Oryzias latipes: one gene and its partners. The protein of the gene in region 2 interacts with the protein of the main gene of each other region in a pairwise test. Links are inferred from orthologs where the notes say so. Each region holds a gene or a part of one and is shown on either strand. Other genes may lie near its edges.

Region 1 (4,241 bases), on a different chromosome or scaffold from region 2:
AATAAGACTTTGAAACCAGACTCGTCCATTGATGACTAAAGCCAGCACAAAAACAGGAACTCTTCACAAACATTGTAGAAGTTTAAATGGGAACTGGCTCAGCTGTCATCCTCGCACGTGCCTGCTGGCTGCTGCCCTCACCTGTCTCAGCTGACTCTTCGCCCTCGACATCTCCTCCTGCATGCTCTTCTTCTTGAACTCCTGCAGGTTTTCGAAGTACTCCTCCACATCCCGCTCGTCTTGAGTGAACAGCGTTTCCAGAACAATCTTTCGGCCGCAGAAGTCGATCGCTGTGACAAAGTATTTCTCCAGTTTCCTGCACGGCGTGTCGAAGTCCCTCTCGGCGTCGTCGTGCTCCGGAGCTGACCTCCGGCTTTGAAACAGCAGCTCCCACAGATTGCCTTCTTCAAACGCAGACAAGTCTGGAAAGCACGCGCAAAGGATGTCCGCCACGCACGTGAACTGCTGGTGGATGTGCTTCAAGTCGCTGACAGAGAAGAGTCCAGCCCAGCTGAGCGGAGACTCGCCAGCATCGACTTCAGCTTTGCGTTTCTGCCGCTGCAGCGTTCGGTTGTGGCAGGTGACGGCGAACTTTGACTCGATGGCGTTCCACTCTACGATAAAGCCCAGCTTCACTGCCTCGTTCTCCTCGAATATATTACTTTTGACGGCCACCCAGCCGTCCAGACTGTCCAGCCGGTCAACCTCAACGCCGTCCATCCTAAAAACACGTTCATTTGGCCTCCGATGAACTGTTGGCTCTGTTTACAACGTCCGCCATTTCTATCCCGGAAGTAGCCTTCAGGTGCCACCCAAAATACTCGGAATTATTAAAGACCGAACGCTAATCATGCAGACAATGTTAAACGCAGTCATTTTAAGGCACTTTTTTGCTCAAATAAAAAACTTAAAAGTACAGGTATATTTTCACAAAATTGTATGTGGTTATTATAGAAGTAATTATACTTTTACGCTATTGTGCAACTTATTTTTACTTTAATATTAATTGTTTCAAGTTGTGTACCTGTTTCATGTTTACAAAACAGTTAGAATATCACATACCTGATAACAATATACGAAAATACGAAGTTTAACCCCCAAAAAAGTATAAAACAAGAGTCTGTATGTTTGATTTGGACTTTTACAATGACCTAGAATGCCTCATGACGGCATTGACTAACTTTCACCTTTGACCTTTAAAGTCACATGCTTGGGGATTTTCCTTACATCAGACTCAAACTTATGGAGTTATCAAAACTGTTTGTGCTATATTTTTGTCTCAAATAACAAAACACAGAAATGAAACTGTGTTATTCACAAAACTGTATTTGATTTTCCCTGAAATAATAAATGTTTTGCAGTCATTTGGTGTGCTTGTGACATCTGAGCAACATGAGTCCATTCTATTTTTGTCCCAGCTTCTGGTTGAGACTTTTGGAGACTTTGCTTGTCAGACACTCGGCTGCCTATTTAAAAAGAGACTGAATCAGTCAGTTATTCTGGTAATTTTAGTATAATCTTATTTACTATTTTTTAGACCAGCAGGACCTACAAAGTGTGTTTAAAATGAAGTTCTTGTGTTTTTTGTTCTGCACTTTCTTGTTATAGATGTATAAATTGTGGATCTGTGCACTGGTGCAGATTTAAATCGAATGGACCCGAGTGAAGTCTGAAGATGGAGGCTGGATGGGATTGAAGCCAGGCACAAGGACATTTAGCTGAAACTCTACAAAAATGGAGACACATAAAGGAGTTTCAGATCGAGGAGGAAGGACCTTCCAGAGATTTTCTGTCGACACCAATGAGTCCCTTCATTTTGAACCCTGTGAGGACAGCTCTCCGTCTCCCACCGGAATAGAGCATGATGAAGATAATGTGTTCATTAAAGACGAAAATGAGGTAAAAATCCCTAGAATGAGTGTGTTTGTACATTTATTGTATTTAAAGCAGCATGAAAGAATAATTACATTTATTTAAAAAAAATGAAAGCAGTGCACAATTCCACATTTGTTTGTTAGCTAACCAAATAAAAGCCCTGGCAGCAAAAGACTGACTCATAAGTCATGTTACTGGTTTGAACATAAAACAGAAAAAGCTGGAGGCATGACTTGCATTTGCTTTTAGAGTGAAATGACCTCAATCAGGAACCGATTGCAAGGCAAGGTTGCTGAGATGGAGAACTTTGCTGGACACCTGGAGGAGATCTTTCTTACTGTTGAGGTACGATGACAGTCAGGTCTGCTTAAAAAATTAATAAATAAATGTAGTTTAAAAATGTTTCTTCTCCCCACCATTCATGGGGGCTTGTCATTACTTTTGCTACTCAACCTTTGATTTATACATTTATTGTTACGTAAGTGTGTACGTCTACCCTTCTGTGCTTCCTACTCACACACTTGGGGTATGACCCATCATTATTCGTATCTCTGGGCTGGTACATGCAGGAGAACTTTGGCCGTCAAGAGCAGCACTTGGAGCAGCACCACAATGACGTGCTGCAGACGCTGTCCCAGCGCCACAATGAGAGGGCTGCAGGCCTGGTGGAGGAGAAGAAGAGTAAGATGGAGGCTCTGTACAGTCAGCTGCTCTCCTGCGGTCAAGCACTGGATGCCTCCAAGGAGCTCATTGAGACAGCCCAGGAGATCTACCGCACGCCAGACAAGAGGGTGTTCCTGAAGGTACCTGTGTTTTAGTTGTTTCATTTTAATTTTCTAAAGTAGATGTTCAAAGTTGTGTTCGTCTTTAGACACACAATGCCTATTTTTGCTTTTAGGAAAACACACAGTCATTCCATATGCACAAACCACTCATTTAGAATTTTCAATTTAAATCCTGTCCTTTTGTTTCATATATTTTGACAGACAGTTATGCCCATCATTAAAAGGTAACGTGGATGATGCTCAGTGAGTATGCATGGTGTGACGTGGATTCAAAGGGATTTTTGTGTTATTAAACCACACTCTTAGAATTGGGATTGTAGTTTTATACATTGCCTGTGTGTGTTTTGCAGAATTGAGATGTTTGCTAAGGAGAAGGTTGATCTCACATTGTCCACAAAGCTTGACTTTGAAACACCCCAAGCTGATCTGTCTGATGTGAAAACCATGATGGACTCCGTCAATGCCGTCCCAGGTCTGTTATGACCACTTCACCCATTCACTCACTGGCCACATTAGGTACACCTTGCTATTATCAAGTTGGACAGGAGGGGCACCCGGTGTGGTCTTCTGCTGCTGTAGCCCATCTGCCTCAAGGTTGGACGTGTTGTGCGTTCAGAGATGTTCTTCTGTACACCTCAGTTGTAACCAGAGGTTATTTGAGTTACTGTTGTCTTTCTATCAGCTGAAACCAGTCTGGCCATTCTCCTCTGACCTCTGACATCAAGAAGGCACTTCCGCCCACAGAACTGCATCTATCTGGATATTTCTTCTTTTTCAGACCATTCTCTATAAACCCTAGAGATGGTTGTGGGTGAAAATCCAGGTAGATCAGCAGCCCGTCTGGTACCAACAACCATGCCACGTTCAAAGTCACTTCAATCACATTTCTTCTCCATTGTGATGCTCGGTTTGAACTGCAGCAGATCATCTTGACCATTTCTACATGTCTCAATGCACCAAGTTTCTACCATGTGATTGGATGATTAGAAATGTGTGTAGAGGACCAGCTGGACAGGTGTGCTTAATAAAATGGCCAGTGAGTGTATACACACATGTGCATCTATCAAAAAAATGTGCGGAACTCTGGTTTCCATACAAGAACTAAAAAAGATTGTTGGTCCGACTTGAGTTTATCTTTTAGGGCATTACACGAACAACATGTTAATGTTAGTATTTTTTACACATAAAAACAGCTCCATCTGCTCCGGTAATCAACCCCCAGATGTCCAACTCAGCCACGCAGACGTCTTTGCGTGTTTGCTGGAGTTTATTCTCTGACGACACGGTGGAGTACTATGACCTTTACTACAGACCCGTGCTGGAGGACACGCTAGCAGACGGCTTCTGCCAACCACATGGTACCAGGTGGTTAAAGATCTAATGACCCTGGAGACAAGCTGGAGACTAAATGTGTGTTTTTCTATAGTAAGCACAGTAAAAGTGAAGGAGACTCACTGCACGGTGACAGATCTGCTCCCTAACGCTCAGTATGAGCTCTGGGTAACAGCGACCAACACCACAGGCATCAGCCCAGCCAGTGAGAAGGCTTTATACATGACAGGTAATAAATGTCACACTCCT
Region 2 (4,118 bases):
TGACCATGTAAAGCAGAAATATTAGTTGAAAATTGAGCCTATCACTGTCTTTTTCAAACACTTACCCTTAACTTTCCTTTGTGTCCAGAAGCAGGCCATGAGCACAAGCTTTTGCCTTAATGTTGCAATAACCAGAACCTAATCTTTTATCATCTGTGACAAGTCTTTTGAGGTCAAATTTCTGTTTTCTGATGTTTTTTTTTCCTTGTTGGTAGTTACTTTCAATCCCACTTCCCCCATACTTTATTGTTAAGATCTTTCTGTGAAGTATAATGCTTTAAATGGGTATTACATCAATAAACATACACAGTCTGCATGGTAAAATATTGTGCAGTACTCCCTCTAATCTATTGCTTTTTCAATATTTATCAGATTCACACCCGACCATTCTTATTGTTGCATAATCTTTCTTGGCATGAGTTCTCTGCTTTGTTGAGACAACTGTGTATCCATTTTCACAATAATTGACATCCTATCATTGTCACCTTGAATCAACATTTGATCCTTTATGTAAAGCACCAACATCAACATTTCTTTTGACACCATAAACAGATTACATCAGATTAAAATTTAATGAACCCCTGGGGAAAGTGGGTCAGAGCTGCAGCAACAGAGTAGAGGATTTAATATACTACAGGTAAGAGCTGGTTTGAACAAACATGAATAGATGCCGCAGATGCTTGAGAAAAATGCAGCACAAAATTCTTTAGATAGATAGTCTTTATTGTCATTGCAACATTGTACAACGAGATTAAGGTGCAAAAATAGTCAAATGGTAAAAAATAAAATCACAATAAATAGTATAAAAACAATATAAAATACAGCAGACATAACCCACACATGCTTGGCATTTACTGTGTCAAGCAGACAGAAACATATGATAAACACAATTTATGGATTTTCATCATCACATTTTTAGAGCAGAACTGTTCAAATGGCAGGAAGAATAAGACTGATACAACATTTTTAAAATATAAATGTATGTTAGTAGTACAGTTACAATTCTGCAGCTTTGCTGTTAAATGAAGGAACACAACCATCTAAGTAATTCTGTATCCAATTATCTAGAACACAATTTAGTTTTATTTTCTTTTTCTAACTATTTTTTAGCCTGCAATGTTATTTTTTTTTAAAAGTCTGTGGAGGAGCAAAAAGTATGTAAACACGGACGAAAAACCTTTAAGTCAATATTTAGGGCAAAATCACGCAATCGCCTCAACCCCCCCTTCCATTTTCCCATGATGCAGTGCGCAATTTTCGTATTTTTCTAAATGTTTTAAAAAAAAAATCAATACATTTCATGTATCTTATTTTACTTTTTTTTTAATTAATTAAAAGTGTTAGAAATTAGCAAACTGTGCACGTTTATAGTTACTGCAAAACATTTGTAACAGTAATTAAGGTAACGAAAAGTGACGAAAAGACTCATGGGAACGTAAACAGTGTTCTCCTTGTTTTTGAAGGCACAATTTTGACCGTCTCCTGTCTTTTTCTACCAGCCGTTAAACATGGAGAGGAAAAATATCGTCAAAGAAAAGCTAATAGTTCCTACGGACTTTATTTCACCGGCGCATTTAAGTAAGTTAAAGTTTGACAGCTTGAACAAGTCGAAGTAACGTTAGCTTTTAGACAGTGTAGCTAAAAATGTCTAATTAAGTTCGGTGGTAAACTAAGTTAAAGGGCCCTTCTTACTATCATATACCTGTAATGTAAGCATGTCTTTGTAATTTTATACGCTAAAAAAGCTAATGGAACCAAACACACAGTAAAATACACGTACTGCTTTTGTTATTTAGCCAATGTCCAGGGGGACCTAATGCCTCCGTCACACTTTGAATCGGGTGTTCAATCATCTGGAGCCCACAGAGGGGTTCTAGTAGGTCCTAAAACTTCACCTCAGACTACCTGGAGGAACCCAGTTCCGATATCAGGACCCAGGGATCCAAGTCTTGCCGGTCCATGCTTCACCTTTCCTCAACGTGAGGACAATCGGGAGATGATCCTGCTACAAGGAGACTTCTTAAGAGCAAACGAAGCTGGGGGTCAGCCTGCAGCACACAGGTTGAGGTTTATTTCTGAGTTGTTGGTCTGAAAGGAAATTTTAATCTTCTCTGTGTCATTAAGATTATTTCCTTGAAAACAGATTTGGAGAAAAAGGAGAGCAACAGTACACATGGGAGTCACAGCACCAGCTTGGGATGGAAAAACACAAGGCTGAAGCTGAGAGGTTAAAGGGTCAGGTGGAGGCCCTGAAAGAAGCTGCAGAGAAATACAGAGAAGAAATGAAAGATAGAGAGATCACCCTGTGCAGGTATCACACTTTTTTCACTCTGTTTTGGTGTCTGATTATTTGATTTTCATATTTTTCTGCACAGCTTACCTCTGAAGAGTATATTAAAAACATGTCAGGATGAACTTGACATGATCTTTGTGCAACAGGTGCACCCATGAGCTGGAAGTAGCTCGAGAAAATGCATCAAAGGCGAAAGCAGAACTCAGCCAAGTCAGGGAGGAGCTTAGCCTCAGCAGAGGACAGGAGGAGATGATGAGGTTGCGGGTAATGATATTTACTCACAGAACATTTTATGTCCACACTGACTTACACAAGAGTCGCCCCTGGAGTAACTGACATTGTCTAACTCCTTTTGTCAGTTTGTGATCTGGCATTTTCTCCACAGATTGCAGTGTCCCTTTTAGCTTTTAGGAACATCCTGGAGTGTTATATTCTCACAAACGCTGAGTCTTCAGTCTTTTCATGTTTTTGTGTTTTGCAGCTGGAAAAAGTGAAAGCAGAGTGTGGAGAGGAGATAGCCCAGCTGAGGAGATCTTTGGTAAAAAGCAAACAGGAATCCAGAGAGCTTGCTCTTAAGGTTGAAATGAGTAGGCTGCAGGCTGAAGAGGAGGCGAAAGAGCAGGCTCTCAGACTCTCCAAACAACTGGAGAAAATGAAGGAGATGCAGGAGGCACAGGTTTGTGGCGCAGCCTGTCGCAGCAAGATTTTATAAACCTTTTATTTACTGATTTTATTGACCTTCTGTCAAACAAAGGGTTCACTTCCAAGAACTCATGTCAGCTGGCATCAGTTCTGCTGAACTCTTGATGTTTCCTGCAGTAAAGCAAGTGTAGTGAGACCCTTTGCTTGAGTGGGATCAGTTTGGATTCATTTTTCTTCTTTTTTCTTTCCTTACTTCCAGTTGCAACATTTAAACGCATCGCACTATACAGAGTTGGACACAGCAAGACAAGCAAACTCTGAATTACAGGACAGGCTCCAGTCGATGTCCACAAAAGTGCTGCAGTTACAGAGCGCTCTGATGGAGGCGTCAGCTGAAAGGGACGAACTGAAAGAACATTTAAGGTGCAGCTTTGCATTTCAAGCACTATGTGTTCACATTCGCTAATGTTCCTTAGTTTCTTTTTCTTTCACTGCTTCTTTATTAGTGTGTATTGTTACTTTCAGTCACGTGGGACGAGCCTTCGAGACCCAATCTGCGACACTGCAGAGCCTCAGAAATTACATCGGCCAGCTCACCCCAGAGAGAGGAGAGAAGGAACAATTAAAGGAAACTATTGAGGTTCAGACAAAATAAACTGTACTGATCAAAGACATCGGCAGTAAATTGCAAGCGCTTCTGTTCACCACACCATAGAAAAAGAAAACATTAAGCAAAAGAGAAACTCATTTTTAAATTCAAAACCGTGCAGTGTTTCTGCTTCTAATCTTGTGCATTTTACAGAAGCTAAACAAAGAGAAGGCGGCTCTTCAGACGACCACTGAGCTTCTGACTGTCAGACTTAATTCTGTAAATGAGATTCTCACCCTCCAAGAGGAGAAGCTGGTTAAGAAGGTGAGTGTTTCAAGATAGAAGTCTTTGTTTATTACAGCCAAGACCTCGTCTTTCTGGCTAAGCTACTGATTTCCCGTTTAAACATTAGGCTGCTTTTATACATTAATGTATACAATTTATAGAAAATTGTCTAAAGACTAATCTACATCATAATCACTGACCCAAACACATTTCCCAACTTTACTTTTAGTTCATTCAGAAAACCATCATCTAAGGAAATGGGTCACAATCACAGCTTACTGTGTGAACTCCCAGGGTTCTACTAATGTC
Region 3 (4,197 bases), on a different chromosome or scaffold from region 2:
GATAAGTTTAAACTGCAGACAGCATCTCGTCTTACTAACAGTTTCACTGCAGCTGCTGTGGACACCGATAGTTGAGTTACACAGATGACCTGCCTGCTTTCAAAACACCCTTAAAGCTTTAGCTCCATACAGCGTACCCAGGGACTTTCTCCCTTGTGTTGTGCCTACAAAAGCATGAGGTGCGCATGCCAAGAAAATACAGGGAGGTTACAAAGGAGGTGGGAACATTTTTTTAAAGTATAACTTGACAAAGATTTCATTCAGAAAATCGTGCCAAACTCAGCTAAGACGTCACCACTGCTGTAACTTAAGCAGCGCTTAATTTTGAAAAGACAAGAACAGCAGCAAGACATTAAACACCAAACCTCAGCATTATGGCAGGAGTTTGAAGAGCAAAAGTCACGTCTAAGTTACATATAAAGCTCAGTAATTGTTTGCTTCTGATAAAAAAAGTTACAGGTTATAATCAGTTAGACTAGGCACAAGCCTGGAGGAAGTTAAAACCCGTTCTAAGGGAACCTTTGCACAATTTATTCAGTACTGTGAGGCTTCTGCTATTTCCTTTTGTTTATGTGTTGAAAGTAAACACTAACAATGGAAGCTGAAATGTACCGAAGCTTCTTAAAAGAGGAAACTCAATGTTATGTAAGCGGAGCATATTTTCACGGGGTAGGGCCAGCAGTGCCTGCTTCTTCATGTCACTCAGGACTTCCACACACATCCATGCCGGAGCTGCTGCTCCTTTGGGACAAACTCAATACAGCTGCAGTCTCGTTAAAAAAAATAAAACTTCAAGAATGATGCATAAAAACCACGTGGTAAGCCTGAGTTTAAAGCAACCGTGAAGTTTCAGCCTATTGCACGCGTGCGTAAATCTGAACTTTACGCAAACAGCCGCATTTCTGATGCACAACAGCACCGTCAGTTTTCTGCTTTACTCACCGATCGCCTTCAGTCCAACAGAACTTTGCCGTCTCCCGCAGTGAATTCGGCGTGAAAACCCGCCGAGTTATCCCGCAGCTCCAACTTTCAAATCCCAACTCGCTGAGGAGGAGGAGAGACGTGTGCGCGCATCCCCACACACACACGGCTGCGCATAAACACACACAGGTCTAGAATTTCCGCTTCAATCTTACAGCTTCATGTTTTTCTTTTCATCTAAACATAAGAACGTCAACTGATTTTTCAAATGTGTTATTATTTTATAAATATACATACAACCTAATGTTTGTCGTCAATCCACAGCATTATTTGTATCGAAGGGTTCTGCAAATTCACCGATCTCAGCCCATGAGCAAATCTCGCGAGACTTGCCGTGTTGTGGCACAGCTGACTCTCCCGTGGGTGGTACAGGCGAGCAGAACCTTGAGGCTAAATAATCGAATATAAAGCGCCTTAAATTTAACCGCCGTGAAGGTCCGGACATACAGTTTTATTCACACCATGGCTGAAACAGATCCCAAATCAGTGCAGGACCTTACTAACGTGGTGAGTTTGGACCGTCAAGCTAGCTAGGACTAGCTATATGGATGTAGCTAGCAATGCTAACTATACTGCTAACAAATCAAATGCAGGTTGCATCTAAAGGAGTATTAAGTTTGATTCCTTTTTGCCTTTTCCCCCTTTGTTTTACCACTTGACACCTAAATTCTGATCGATCTCACTAAATATTTATTAGTTTATCACCATATAAAAGACATTGTTAGCTGATTAGCACTTCATCCTGACTAATTTAATTTACATAAATCTTCTTTAATCAGCATTTTCAATAACAAGTATATGAATTTACATTTTTATTGTAATAATAATAATCAGCAGTTCTCGCAACACCCAGGTTACTTCTGTTGGTGTGGATACCAATAGTGTTGCCATGGAAATGAACCAAAACTAAAGGTCTAAGTTGCACCTCTACCTACTAAATCACAGACTGTATTCGATTCTTCTGAAACATTAGGTGTTGATTAGTGTGTTGACTGGAAGATGAAGGTCTTAGCTCCTTTTTAGTGGTTTTTCTCTCACATGCAGCTATGTCCAGAGTGGGGTATGTGAGGAGGGGACTGAGAGGGCGGGAAGCGCTTTTGGGCCGCTCACAGCTTGATCTTGTACTGTTTCTTGTTGGGTTTGACAGATTAAAGTTTGTGGCCTTCTTTTGTTTTTCTAAAGGTCCAGACGCTCCTGCAGCAAATGCAAGACAAGTTCCAGACAATGTCAGACCAGATCATCGGGAGGAATATCCTTTTTTGAAAGCCAGAGCTCTGATGGTCGTCTTTACATTTCTCATACTCTACATCAAATGTCCCGGTGTCTTTTTCTACAGGACTCCAGTTTGCTTAGAAAAAAAAAAGATTTGCCTTAACAGTGTCCACTTGATGAGATGAGCACACGAATCGATGACCTGGAGAAAAACATTGCTGACCTGATGACCCAGGCTGGTGTGGAGGAGGCCGAGGCGACACCAGAGAAGCCGAAGGAGAGCCAAGGATCATCATGAAGGTGAAGAAAAACGGTCTACCCCTGTAGAATTTCTTTGTTCTGGTAGATTTCCTAATCAGCTTTATTTTCTGTCTGTCCCACAGGGTCAGAAATGATGTGAAGTCAAAGTTCTTTACCGATGACTTCTGATTTGGTGTGAAATGCTTTTTTTAAATATATATATATATAAAATGGTTTAACGGTTTACAGTTATGTCATGATGTGAGAAGTGGAGTAGTAGTAATCTGAATTAGTGTGACCTGCCCTTCAGAATTGTGTATTTGGTGCCCTGACCTGGACGTTCGAGCCGCCAGCGTCGGTTCTTCTCTCCGGTCCGTGCTTGGTAACGGGCCAGCAGAACCTCATCCCAACACGATGAACCGCGAACACCCGGAGCTCGCAGCGCAGCACTGTTGGCAACGAGATGCAGAATGCATTCCATTTCTGATTTTCTATTAAAGCGATGTACGGAGCAGTTTCTCCTTTTTGACCAGGTGCTGATAAATAGACCACGGTGCTAAGAGTTTCTACATTTTCTCTTATGAGGCAGAGTCGTCTGATGCCACAGACCTTTCATAACTACTGAATTCATCCGATCTGCAGGTTCAATGCTCTTTGTTGTTCATGAATTTGTTGGATTCTGACGTGAAATGAGCAGAATTGGAAATGTGCCACTTAACGAGTGTATAACTAAGATTTTGCCAAATTGAATGATTAAAACATCCCTTATTTTACCGCATGGTAGGAACCTTTATTCAAGTGTATGCAAACAAAATGTAACAGACCGTCTTCAAACCAAAAGTAGCAGTAAACATCCATTAAAGTGCAGCTTGATTATTGAACTGCAGTAGTAGAACCTCAGCACTTCATAAACATCCCCTCAATACAATATTCATTTACTCTACATGGGATAAAGCAAAAGGTCCCTGAGCTGCCACTTGGTGTGAGTTTATACGTCTGTGGAAGTTCAGTTTCAGAACTCGAAGTCGTCCTCCGTCATGTCGATGGCCCAGGCGAACTTTTCCCGTTGGGTTTTGTTGTAGATTTTTTCTATAGGCACCTCCATGTTCTTACACCTGATTAAAAACAAGAACAGAAAAGCGTTCAACCACAAACAACTGAGTATTACAACTGCAGAAGAAAAGTCTTAAACATACAATGGGGTGAAGAGAAACCTTGAGTTTATCGTCCTGAACGTTTTTCAAGCCAAACTTCACCAAATCGTTGCAGAAGAAGCATTTCTCATCTCTGGTTTAGCACCAAACCCCACTTTCCTTTGGTACAAGCAGCATTTCTATGAATTCTGAAGTCTTGGAACAATTGGCTGATCTCTATAGAAATCAGGTCGGTCACATGGTGAAACGTCAGATCAGTAAACTGGAGGATCTGTTGTCTGAATGAGATCAAGTGACCACAGATCCTAAGAGCCCAGAATCAAAGTTAACGGATGGAATCTGGACATTTCAACACTGCAGCCTAAACCAGAAACTTAACAAAATGTGTTCTTTACAATAAAAATCTATTAAAACATTTCTGTTTTTGGGTGTGTGTACGAGCTGGATTCGCAGTAAAATAAGGGTTTGAGTGACGGGGCTGTTCTGCCCACTCAGACGTTTCTGAGGATCGCTGACGACCATCAGACCGAGCTGGAGGTCTCAAGAGAAGAACCGCAGCAGCGGTGGAACTCTGCCGTCGGGGTGAAGATGGCGTTTACCAAGCCACAGA

The links.
Region 1: the proteins of coiled-coil alpha-helical rod protein 1 (region 2) and fsd2 interact in binary tests that used the Homo sapiens proteins (3 or more experiments, as listed by UniProt). The link is inferred for Oryzias latipes from reciprocal best matches to the Homo sapiens genes CCHCR1 and FSD2.
Region 3: the proteins of coiled-coil alpha-helical rod protein 1 (region 2) and hsbp1 interact in binary tests that used the Homo sapiens proteins (3 or more experiments, as listed by UniProt). The link is inferred for Oryzias latipes from reciprocal best matches to the Homo sapiens genes CCHCR1 and HSBP1.

The regions. Positions count from the first base shown.
Region 1 is NC_019861.2:13,794,222-13,798,462, reverse strand, and holds the start of fsd2 (fibronectin type III and SPRY domain-containing protein 2), read left to right. Parts: upstream 1-1,370; 5' UTR 1,371-1,502; intron 1,503-1,538; exon of another isoform or gene 1,539-1,555; intron 1,556-1,608; 5' UTR 1,609-1,734; coding exon 1,735-1,899; intron 1,900-2,124; coding exon 2,125-2,220; intron 2,221-2,444; coding exon 2,445-2,678; intron 2,679-2,861; coding exon 2,862-2,884; intron 2,885-3,010; coding exon 3,011-3,132; intron 3,133-3,853; coding exon 3,854-4,018; intron 4,019-4,086; coding exon 4,087-4,221; intron 4,222-4,241. Other genes in the region: whamm (WASP homolog-associated protein with actin, membranes and microtubules), read right to left, coding at 142-720.
Region 2 is NC_019872.2:16,054,636-16,058,753, forward strand, and holds the start of coiled-coil alpha-helical rod protein 1, read left to right. Parts: upstream 1-1,266; 5' UTR 1,267-1,402; intron 1,403-1,499; 5' UTR 1,500-1,508; coding exon 1,509-1,578; intron 1,579-1,796; coding exon 1,797-2,061; intron 2,062-2,143; coding exon 2,144-2,311; intron 2,312-2,439; coding exon 2,440-2,557; intron 2,558-2,774; coding exon 2,775-2,969; intron 2,970-3,194; coding exon 3,195-3,358; intron 3,359-3,460; coding exon 3,461-3,575; intron 3,576-3,737; coding exon 3,738-3,848; intron 3,849-4,118. UniProt on the Homo sapiens protein: May be a regulator of keratinocyte proliferation or differentiation.
Region 3 is NC_019864.2:28,979,114-28,983,310, reverse strand, and holds hsbp1 (heat shock factor-binding protein 1), read left to right. Parts: upstream 1-1,326; 5' UTR 1,327-1,443; coding exon 1,444-1,488; intron 1,489-2,163; coding exon 2,164-2,230; intron 2,231-2,366; coding exon 2,367-2,491; 3' UTR 2,492-2,493; intron 2,494-2,576; 3' UTR 2,577-3,445; coding exon of another isoform or gene 3,446-3,548; 3' UTR 3,549-4,002; downstream 4,003-4,197. Other genes in the region: DNA topoisomerase I, mitochondrial, read right to left, coding at 3,446-3,548, 4,187-4,197. UniProt on the Homo sapiens protein: Negative regulator of the heat shock response. Negatively affects HSF1 DNA-binding activity. May have a role in the suppression of the activation of the stress response during the aging process.